Linked DNA regions of Arabidopsis thaliana. The protein of the gene in region 3 interacts with the protein of the main gene of each other region in a pairwise test. Each region holds a gene or a part of one and is shown on either strand. Other genes may lie near its edges. The genes, in order: AT5G26749, AT1G76590 and FBH4.

Evidence for each region.
Region 1: the proteins of FBH4 (region 3) and AT5G26749 interact in a two-hybrid assay, tested with the Arabidopsis thaliana proteins (one large-scale study listed by BioGRID).
Region 2: the proteins of FBH4 (region 3) and AT1G76590 interact in a two-hybrid assay, tested with the Arabidopsis thaliana proteins (one large-scale study listed by BioGRID).

The regions. Positions count from the first base shown.
Region 1 is NC_003076.8:9,397,553-9,401,308, reverse strand, and holds AT5G26749 (C2H2 and C2HC zinc fingers superfamily protein), read left to right. Parts: upstream 1-2,041; 5' UTR 2,042-2,069; coding exon 2,070-2,202; intron 2,203-2,286; coding exon 2,287-2,408; intron 2,409-2,555; coding exon 2,556-2,619; intron 2,620-2,750; coding exon 2,751-2,822; intron 2,823-2,914; coding exon 2,915-3,024; 3' UTR 3,025-3,294; downstream 3,295-3,756. Other genes in the region: SK 11 (shaggy-related kinase 11), read left to right, coding at 4-276, 352-426, 523-579, 667-807, 895-945, 1,045-1,140, 1,242-1,325, 1,440-1,542 and 1 more.
Region 2 is NC_003070.9:28,738,629-28,742,384, forward strand, and holds AT1G76590 (PLATZ transcription factor family protein), read left to right. Parts: upstream 1-1,911; 5' UTR 1,912-2,246; coding exon 2,247-2,249; intron 2,250-2,343; coding exon 2,344-2,553; intron 2,554-2,639; coding exon 2,640-2,855; intron 2,856-2,957; coding exon 2,958-3,266; 3' UTR 3,267-3,603; downstream 3,604-3,756.
Region 3 is NC_003071.7:17,611,415-17,615,170, forward strand, and holds FBH4 (basic helix-loop-helix (bHLH) DNA-binding superfamily protein), read right to left. Parts: upstream 2,178-3,756; 5' UTR 1,750-2,177; coding exon 1,302-1,749; intron 1,038-1,301; coding exon 781-1,037; intron 675-780; coding exon 495-674; coding exon of another isoform or gene 477-494; exon of another isoform or gene 382-476; coding exon 316-381; intron 232-315; coding exon 100-231; downstream 1-99.

The DNA.
Region 1 (3,756 bases), on a different chromosome or scaffold from region 3:
TAGGCGAAATGTCTTGAGACAGGAGAAACTGTTGCGATAAAGAAAGTTTTACAAGATAGGAGGTACAAGAACCGTGAGCTTCAAACCATGAGGCTACTTGACCATCCTAATGTTGTGTCTCTGAAACATTGTTTCTTCTCAACCACTGAAAAAGATGAGCTTTACCTCAATCTTGTTCTTGAGTACGTTCCAGAAACTGTTCATCGTGTTATCAAACACTACAACAAACTGAATCAGAGAATGCCTCTTATATACGTCAAACTTTACACTTATCAGGTATCAATTATTACATTTCTGTTAGATTTAGAGTTATGTTTTGGATCTCTTATCGGATTTCTCTATGTTTGGCAGATTTTTAGAGCCTTATCTTACATTCACCGATGCATTGGTGTGTGTCATCGTGACATAAAACCTCAAAACTTGTTGGTATGTACAAGTTAAATAAACAGGAGCTCACAGTATACCCGGGAATATACTTTTCTTCATTGTCTAATGCTACTTTTTTCACCTGTAATGGAACAGGTAAATCCGCACACTCATCAAGTAAAGCTATGTGATTTTGGAAGTGCAAAAGTATTGGTGAGTTTGATAAACCTCTTCCGGGTACTTTGTTTCTTGGAAAAAGTTAGATTCAATCTTGTTGATCATTGTAATATCTGAAAACAGGTAAAAGGAGAACCAAACATTTCCTACATCTGCTCGAGGTATTACAGAGCACCTGAACTTATTTTTGGAGCAACCGAGTATACGACAGCCATTGATGTCTGGTCTGCAGGATGTGTTCTAGCTGAACTATTGCTTGGACAGGTAATGCATTAAATCTTATTCAAACATTTTTGTTCTACTTAACCTGGAATTTTGTGATTGACAAACTCTATTCTCTGCTCATGACAGCCCTTGTTCCCTGGTGAGAGCGGTGTTGATCAACTTGTAGAGATTATCAAGGTATAAGCTTTGCACTTGTTCACTTTGATAACAAGTTCTTGTTTTCAATAATACTGAGAGAAGATTTGATGTAATGTTTTTTGTTATGCTTTGGGGTAGGTCTTGGGAACGCCTACTAGAGAAGAAATCAAGTGCATGAACCCAAACTACACGGAATTCAAATTCCCTCAGATTAAAGCTCATCCATGGCACAAGGTAGAAATAAACTTATATTCATCAAATCAACTTGTCAATGTGTTATTCAGTAGCAGTTACAGTCAATGTGACAATATCTACTCGTCATAATATATTCACAGATTTTCCACAAACGCATGCCTCCAGAAGCTGTTGATTTGGTCTCAAGACTTCTTCAATACTCTCCTAATCTACGAAGTGCCGCTGTGAGTATTACTTACAAATTCAACATTCTTCTGTGAATCTTCTCGATGGTCCTTTCATTTCCTATTTTTCTTTTGTCTGACTTGCTTTTACTTGAATCGTAAACCTGATCACAGCTCGACACATTAGTCCACCCATTCTTTGATGAGTTAAGAGACCCAAACGCACGTCTACCTAATGGACGTTTCCTTCCACCGCTTTTCAACTTCAAGCCTCACGGTACAACATCTCCCTTTCCTAATGGTGTTTATCTCCAACTTACCTGTAAAATCATCAAAGTTTTACCTTACTAAAGCTATACCTGTAATTGTTGTGAAACAGAGCTGAAAGGTGTACCATTGGAGATGGTAGCTAAGTTAGTACCTGAGCATGCAAGGAAGCAGTGTCCTTGGCTCGGTTTGTGATTTCCTCTTAATGTAGCATGAACACAACAAACACTTCTTATAAATTACCTCTCTATGTATCAATATGTCACAAACTGATATGCACCCTTTGTTTGTTGTATGAGTAGAGAAAAAAAGAGTTATTACTATGGTTGGTTGGTTCATAATGTAAAAGCCCACCAAGATTTTTTATCTAGATAAAGAGTTTGCTACTTCTGCTTTTGTATCTTCTTCTTCCTCTGCAACATCATCAAACAAAGACCCTAAAAGTCACTGTAGCAAATACAAGTATCCTCACGCGCCTAAAACTAATAAAAGCCAAAACTTTTTGATTCTACGAGTCGTCGTCGTCATCGCCGGAAGATGCCGTCGGGGAAATATTACTGTGATTATTGCGAGAAAGAGTTTCAAGACACTCAAGTCGCTAGAAAACGCCATCTTCAAAGCAAACCTCATCTTCGAGCTAAAGCCCTTTGGTACAGTTCTTCTTCCTCAGGTATCTCTCTTCTCTCTTTTTTCTCTCTGTTTCTTAAAGGAACGATTTTTAACATCTCTGTTTCTTTTAATACGAAATTCTTAGATCTTGTTAATCCACAAGTCTCCAATTTTGCGACGAAAGGTCTCTGCAATCGATTCATTACCTCGGTACGTCGGATTGATTTTGTTTCGCTATGTTCATCATTCCTAGCAATCTCTGGATGTGTAAAGTCTTGTCCTTTTCGTTTATATTCTGGTGGAATCACACATTTTACATTGCTTTGTTTGATTCTGCAAAAAAATTCATTGCATATGTGTGTATGTATGTAATCTTCCAAGTAAAGTCTGTTCCTTTCTTAATGGGTTTTGCAGAATTTTTGCCCATTTGGAGATTCTTGCAGATACTTCCATCCTAACAACAATACAGGAAGCACAGGTTAGGTCAAAACCTGTTGATTTTTGACTTCAGTGATTTGGTCTCTTTTAGGCTACTTAAAGCTTTAAAGAAGTCTCTACTATGCGCAAGATTTGCTTAAAACATCATCCTCTTGTTGAATTCAAATGCAGGATTCACAAATAATACACAACTTCGTGTTGACATGCTTAACCAACAACACATCCAAGGAAGTACTTTAAACCGTATGCGTTCTTGTTTTTTCGTCATTCAAGTTCTCTAATATTTAAGCATTTATAGAAAATCTGATGTTGGAAGTTTGAATTGTCTAAAACAGGTGATTTTGTTAGTGGGAGACCAGGAACAGGTTGGTTTGATCTTCCGCCATCGCTAAAACCGCCTCCTGAGCAAGGCTATCCTCAGCTTCCCTTCATAGACTGGGGATAGATATAAATTCTCTGAATAATGCTCAGTTTCAACATTGATGATTCTACTTGAAAGGAAAAGACTAATCTTTGTCTCGTTGTGCTCTGCCATTACCAAGCTTTTAGCCACAAGCTTGTCTCTTTTCAGACTCGAGGTTGGAAGAATGTCAACCAAATTGTCGTCTTGTTACTCAATTTGTCGTCAACTTTAGAGACATTGTTCGGAGTTTGGACATGGCAAATTTGCAATTTAACATACTGTGCGATATTCTGATAAAATTCTTTAAATTTCGTTGGCTCGTCCCTATTCATTGCGTGATGATAGGATATCGCTAATTCGCTATCCGCTTCCTGGCCATGTGCTAAACAAGACTTCCCAAGCCAAACTATCAAAATATTTGACAAAGTTGGAGCAATTCCTAAGGCTGTAGATTAATTACAAAGTTGGAACAATTTTTTCCCTAGAAAATACATTATTGAGAAACAGAGTATAAGTTGGCTAAAAGAAAAATCAGATTGTTCAGAATCAAATATTTAAATTATTAACTTCATTTTCATTTCTTCAACTCCATAAAATAGAACTAATTTTAAACTCTTTATTGTTGAGAGAAATATCTTCGAATCTCCTAAGAGTAATTTAGTCGAGCATGTTGGTTTGAGTTTATAAAAGATAGGTTATGATTTATTAGTTAATATTTCAAATTTATATATTGGTTTTTAGGTTTATAATGGAGGGTTTTAGTTTATTTTTTAT
Region 2 (3,756 bases), on a different chromosome or scaffold from region 3:
GAGAAACTGGTTCAGGTCAGAGCAGACATAGCTTCAACACAACACCCAAGTTTTTATATATTTGGCTAATTATGTTTTATTCTTGCATATGTTAATTTCCCATTCTCCCTTAATTACAGTTTTTAGTTGCTTAACACAAAAGCTGTTGCTATTTTACTGAAGCTGTTTTCTCCTGTGTGTTTATTGTATCTCTGTAGAGTTGTGAACGTAGTTGAACATTGTTGTAAAATTGTAATGTAATACCTTTTTGGTTAATCCTACGTAAAAGTAGTATTAGCCACTACTTGCTAAACATTTTAAAGGGACATCTTAAAAAGTGAAGATGATTCTTCACAAATAAACCACAACGGTCACGTGAGTCTCGTGCTATTGACTACTATTGTTGAGGTCGGTCAACAGTGCATTGCCCCATCTTTACCTTCTTCTTCCCACATTTGTTTGGGATATTTTTCAATTTACTCACTTTATGAATACAAACAAAACAATAAAACTAATCTCTTTTGTGTGTAGTTGAAAGAGATAAGATCGCAGAAAAGAAGACGATGATTCGTCGACTTTTCTCCCAACATTTTGAACAATTAGTTGTTATGTGTAATTTTCTATAGATAGCTACTATCTGATTACGTGGATCACACTTCTCTTTTTATTATTATCTCTTTAGGTTTCTTATCCCATATAATATGATATCAGGTCTCTTTCTCGAGTAATACATTATATATCTATGTTGATTATTTACTACTTGTCATTTAAGATAAGATACTTAAAAATACTTGTTATTGGATTTTGCCGGAAGACTTAACTTTCAAACTCTATTATATGTAGAAGATAGCGGACTGAAAAATACGTCGAAGACAGATACTTCTATTGCATAATTTTTGGGTAGGGACTAGAAAACTTACTCGTAGTTTCGACATATCATCCGCAATCTCAAATTAATTGCAAACTTTTTGATCATATCTATTGAAACTATCTTTCTAGCTTCATTAATTCGTTACCAGCCCCCAATATAAGCTATCAAGTATGAATATTAAGATGGATTTAACGGTGATAATAGTAGTATGTACAGTTTCTTTTGTCAACAGCTGATAAAAAAAATGAAAGCTTCTAACAGTTTGAGCCTAAAGAGATCATATATGTGAACAGTTTCACACACACATAAGCCGTACAACTAATATAGATATCACTTTGACCGTAAAAATCTAACAGTTTAGATCACACACACACAATCTTGAAACTAGTTTAAAGCACTTTCAGCGAAAAGTACTCACTAGATGATAAGAACTCTTTGGCACGTAACAGACGCTTTCGAACCCTACGATTTCAAGAGGTGGCTTATGTACGGTCCACTCAACTTCTTCATCCGACGGTCTAAGATTGGTCATGTGGGTTGAACTACCAAAAGGGCCAAAAGCGTGAGCCACGTTACATTATAAAAGATTTTGTCTTTTTAATCCAACGGTTCACACCAGAATCTCCAATTCGGTTCTGTCTCCTCTCGTGTCGGTCCATCTCTCTGGCTCTTCACCTCTAGCCACGTGTTTCTAATTTTGACCTTTTAAAATTTTAAGAAAAAAACAAATTATTTCTTGTAGCTAAAATTTAGCATCCAAATTCCAAACTCAGAGTTCTCTTCTATGGCCGTATGATACTTCCAATAATCCGTATGTATGTGAATATCATAATCTATCACAAACATAATGAATAGTAGTAGATATTAAGACAATCAAATTTGGTAGAAAAAATATCTTCCTACGTTGGGAATTATGTAGGACCGAATAATATAGTCGGCTAATTCGATATTTTGTCGCGAACCACGACATAAAATTATTTATCATCATTTGTGAACAATAATGATTCAAAATTATCAATAACACCACCTTTTTTTTTTAAGTTCCTTTACTTCTGGGGTCTCTAGAGACCCACACATGTGCACAAAATATACGTGTGTCTCTCATAGACTTTAAAGCAAAATTAGAGAACACTTATTTTTAGCCAAAAAAAGTAATTAAAGAAAAAACTATATAAAAACAGTTTAAAAAGGGGATGATATTAAATGATTTTCATGTGAATTATAAAACGTATTGAGTATTATCGTGACCGACTTCAAAAAACAAGAAAAACCTCAACTTCTCTTTTTCAGCTATAGCCGCCGCCTCCTCCCACTAAACTCAAATCCTCTCATAGTCTTTTCAATCAAATCTGCTCTTCTTCACTGTTGAAGCTGGCTATCAAAACTCACAATAACTATGGTGATTGATTGATTCTCTTTCTTACTTAACTCTGTTTTAGTTTCTTTGCAAATTCTTATATTAACCATTTGGAACTGGTCTAAACATTCTTCAGGGACCGATGATGATGAGAGCAGAAGAAGATAACTACAATCTAAATCCTCCACCATGGCTAATCCCAATGCTAAGAGCAAACTACTTCATCCCTTGTTCAATCCACGCCGCTTCCAACAAAAGCGAGTGCAACATGTTCTGTCTTGACTGTTCTTCTGAGGCCTTTTGCTCTTACTGTTTGCTCAATCACAGAAACCATCGTGTCCTCCAGGTTCTTTCATCAACTTCAAATCATTTTTTTCTCTCTTACCAATTCACCCAACAGAGTTAAGAAAATGGGATTTTCATTACTTGCAGATACGGAGATCATCGTACCACAACGTTGTGAGAGTAAACGAGATTCAGAAGTACATAGACATATCTTGTGTTCAGACATATATAATCAACAGCGCAAGGATCGTTTTCTTGAACGAACGTCCTCAGCCAAGAATCGGCAAAGGAGTCACCAATACTTGTGAAATCTGTTGCAGAAGCCTTCTCGATTCTTTCCGTTTCTGCTCTCTCGGTTGCAAAGTAACTCTTCTTTCCTCTGTTTTCCTCTGTTTTGAATGAATATCTGAATTTGCTCTGTATAGTTGAAATGACCATATTGCCCTTTTGTTTGGTTTATTTCAGCTTGGAGGAATGAAGCGTGATCCAAGTCTAACCTTCTCTTTGAGAGGGAAGCATGGAAGAGAGTACGAAGGTGAGTGGGAATCTGATGAAGCGACTACACCAACTAAGATACGCAAGACATGTGCTTTCAACCGTCTGATGAGTGGTCTTTCCATCTCCACCGTTAAATGTGATTACTTGTCAGGAGATCAACCGTCTTCGAGCTCCGGTGATGAGAGCGGTTTTAAACTTTCTCCGGGGACACCGCCGATATATAATCACCGGAATTCAAGTAGACGGAAGGGCGTCCCACACCGTGCTCCTTTCTAAAATTAATACTAACGGAAGCTAATTATATAGTGTAGATTATAGAAAATGTGGTTGTTATGTTGTAACTAAATGGTTAGTAGTTTTTAACCTTTTGAGCTAGGAATATACATATTGTAAGACATATTACTTACAGGTATTGTTTGGTTTTTCTTTTTATAGTACATATAGAAATTAGGTATATACTGTACTCAAAGGGATTGAAATATGTTTTCATATAGTTTTTTTGCTGTAAATATACGTTTGAAGGAGGTATGTTTCTTCAACTTGTTTGTATCGTATACTGTGTACTATCTTCACAATAAAATAGCAAATATGATAACTAGGATTTTTAACTGAAGCGCTAATATTCGAAGAACTAAATTGTCAATGAGAATGATACAGACGAATAACGAGATTTAAAATAAGAAACTGTCGATCAAGACATGTATTAGTATTGTCAGAACACAAAAACATTGGTGATAAGCTGGGGCAAAAAACATTCTGGGTCTAT
Region 3 (3,756 bases):
ACTTTGTTGCGCCCTATATTGACTTCTTCTCCTTGTTCATACACTTACAGTTAGCTCTGTTGTCGTTTAAAATCTGTGTAAAACCAACAGAAGACTAAATCAATTCAACAGAAGACTAAACAGGCCCCTTTGTTTTTTTTCCACAATGATCAGGAACTTTACCTTATACTGTCTTTGTAAATCTTTGATGTAATCCACAGCTAAATCCAACATATCCGAAGTGTTGGTTTGCTGTTAAAACATAAAGAAAACAACATCATTTAACAATTTGTTTATGATCAAAAGTCATTACAAGGAAGTTCCTGAAAACTGTACCTTGTCCATGTTAGGAACAAGCTCTTGTAACTTCCTCATTCGCTCGCTTATCCGCGTTCTTCTTACCTGACACAATTGACAAGATTTCTTAGGAAAGGCTTTCTGAAAACAAACTAGATTCTGCTTCAAATGGACTTCCATTGATATATGTAAAGATGGCCTTAACTAGGTGAAGTTACCCGTTCAGCGATGCTTCGAGGATGTGTAGCGCAACCACGTTTGGCTCTGATTTTACAAGGAACAGAATCTTGTAGCTGAAGATACTTATCCACTGAAACCATGTCCGAGGCTGTCGATGATGACTTTGGTAGGCTCAAATGATGCGACAGTAACTGCATACGATTCCCGGACTCTCCGTTCTGTAGAAACCCATCAAAAACATCATTAGAAACCACTCCAAGAAATCAACTCCACTTTCAGCTACTGATCAATAACCAAAACAAACCGGTTAGATAACCGAGTTACCTGAGCTCCGAGAAACAATTTTCCATCGTCCTCGGCTTCTCTTTTAAGTGAGGATAAGTTATCAATAAAGCTGGATGGATCATTCCAATGGCTATATGGAAAATTAGTTTCGGGTGCGATTTCAGGTATTTGAGAAAGCATTCCAAGTGAAGAAGGTGGCCTTGAAGAGAGACTGCAATGGCGTCTTAATCCATTGGAATTAGATGGACTCTCTTCATCTTCTTCGTAATTCATCAAATTCCTCATTGAACCATAACCTGCAAATTTGTAAGTATATAGTAAACACTTATTAGATTTGTTGAGTCCAAAGTGCTTTAACTCTATGGTTGACAAAATCAAATCAGATCTTGTCTTAAAATTATTCTCAAGGAACGTAAAACATTCAAAAATCTTGAAGCAAGTGTTAAAACATTCAAAAAAGTTGAATCAAGAAGTACCAAAAACACTTCTGTTATAAATGAAAAAAATATTTCAGACTAAAAAAAGGGGGAAAAACTTTGTAGCAGAGAGCAAAACGGTACCGTTTTGGTCAGAGAGATTAGTAAACATTCCGGCTGGAGAGCTGCTTTGACGGAGAAGATTAGATTCAACTGGTTTGGTGTGATGATTATTGATACCGAGAAACTGATCCAAACCAACCGAGTTCATTATCCCTTTACTCTGCCTCGGGTAATGCGGCGGCAAACCCAGAAAACTCGACGGCTCAAGCTGCGGCGGTGGCGGCAGAGTGGCGGCGTATGAAACAGAGGTGTTCGTTAACGAAACCGGAGACTTATCCTCGAATTTAGGTGAACCCAGATCTCCGTTAACGCCATTAGAGGTCACGAATCTTGAAAGCAACCTATCGGAGTCGAAACCAATCTTGTCGTCGTCAACAAAAGCGGCGAGAACAGAGCTCGGAGCTGATCTAAAACGAAGAAGACCCGACCCGGTGGGATTCGGGTCGTAGAGATGATTATTTGAATCCATTAATCGAATCAATATGTAAAAAAAATGCAACGAAATTTCCTCTGTTTTCTCTTCTTGTAAGCTCTGTCTCGTGACGTTTCAGGAAGAACAAATTTGTAGAAAACCAAATCTTAATAGCTTTCCAACGTCAACCGTTGATATGAATATAAGCTTTTTCTTCTCCCTTGTTAAGTTCTTGTTTGTGTCACTTTTCCCGGGAAAACAAAACTTGAGCTTGAGATGTGAGCAGGTGTAGGATTTGGGAAATATAAAACCTTGAAGGGGAAGTAAAGGAGGTTTCGTCTGAAGATGAAGAAGAGAGAAAGAAGAACGGTGAAGTCTGATGAGAGGAAGAGAGAGATGAAGGTGATGATGAATATTTATCGTCTTTTTGCTTCTGAGTTTCTGCGTCCAACTTTAATTGCTGAAGATAGCGGCGGATCCAAAAGCTTTTTTACCAAAAATTTATTAAAATTGAAAAAGACGTCGTTTTAAGCCGCCTGTGAGGCTGAGTCACGGAAAATGCCTTTTCATATTTTTTTTCAAGAACAATTTTACTACTATTTCTTAAGAATATGAATTTTTCTATATAAAATGTAATTGAGAAAAGAGTAGATTTTAGATGAAAATACATACTTTATACTTGTATACAGGAAGAGCATGTGAAGTAAATTACCTACCTAATCAATTTTGACGAGTATACTGATGGACCCGTGACAAATTATTATTTCTCATCTTATAATCTACATGTATCCATAATATCATTTTATTACGATTCTTGTTTTTTTCTTTGTCTCTGTAAAATATGTGATGTTTCTACCCTAATTTATAACACACGAACAAAAATATCTGTATGTTGGGGACAATGAAATCGCTGGTAGGCCATACGATTACAATTTACAACAAGATGCACCAATCATAAATATTAGTTTCTTTTTTTTTATTGGGTCGGTAGTTTAACAACCAATGTAACAATTTAACACTAGATTCGAAATTTAACGACGTAAGGAAATAATTTTAATACGTTTTAGGGGACATGGATCTAATATGTCATGGTTACGTTACTTCAAATTTGTTTTGTTTAAGTACTCATTATTCAGGAACCAATAATGATGTTAGAGTACTTCATTCATAGTCAGCAATTGTACTGACAAAATCTAATATCCATTCGCATGGTACAACTTAGAATTTAAGAATTAAAGATTGTCCCATCAGAGTATAAAAGTCAGAAGTTAGATGTTAATATAGTTAGACACGAAAACGTACTTGAAATAGAAAGAAAGAAAATTGTCGGAAGTACAGTTTGTTTGTAATAAAAGAGAGATCAAAACTGTTTGAACTTTTTAACCAATATTTACGTACGTACGTAGCTTTCCAAATCCGATTTTAAGGTTCACGGAACCTATACAGTGTACAGCTTACGACACGATCGTGACGGAGGACGTTGACGCCGTTATCACCCATTGGGAACGTAAGTTGGCGACTACTATAATCTGTGTGACATACGGTACACCTGCATGAAAAAGTAAGATTTGAAACTAAACTCTAAAACCTTAGTGGTCGATGGATTATACAGTGACGTGACTCTATGTGAACGATATACACCAGATTACGTCTCCTCTAAATCTCTTTAAATCTTATCTTAGTTTAAACTTTAATAATTCACGAGCGCCGTCTTTTTAAAATCTAAATCCAATAAAGCGACTTGTTCTCTATGGAGTTTTTAGCTATTCAGCCCTTTAATGGAAATTGATTAATTTTTATATTTTCAAAAACCTATTCGTATCGTATCAGTCTGAATTTTTAGCTTTTAGTACAATGTAAGAATTGAAAAAAGAAACCGAACCATTGAGAAGATTGGGGTGGTGAATTTGCTTTGAATGTGAATTTATTCTCTATGGAGTTATTAGCTGTTTCATTCCCTTTTTTATATGGGGACTACGGTTTATGTGCCTGAGGCTCTATATATATTGCATATAGATTGATGACATTGACATAGGCTAAGCTACATAGTCTTAAAACTTCGAG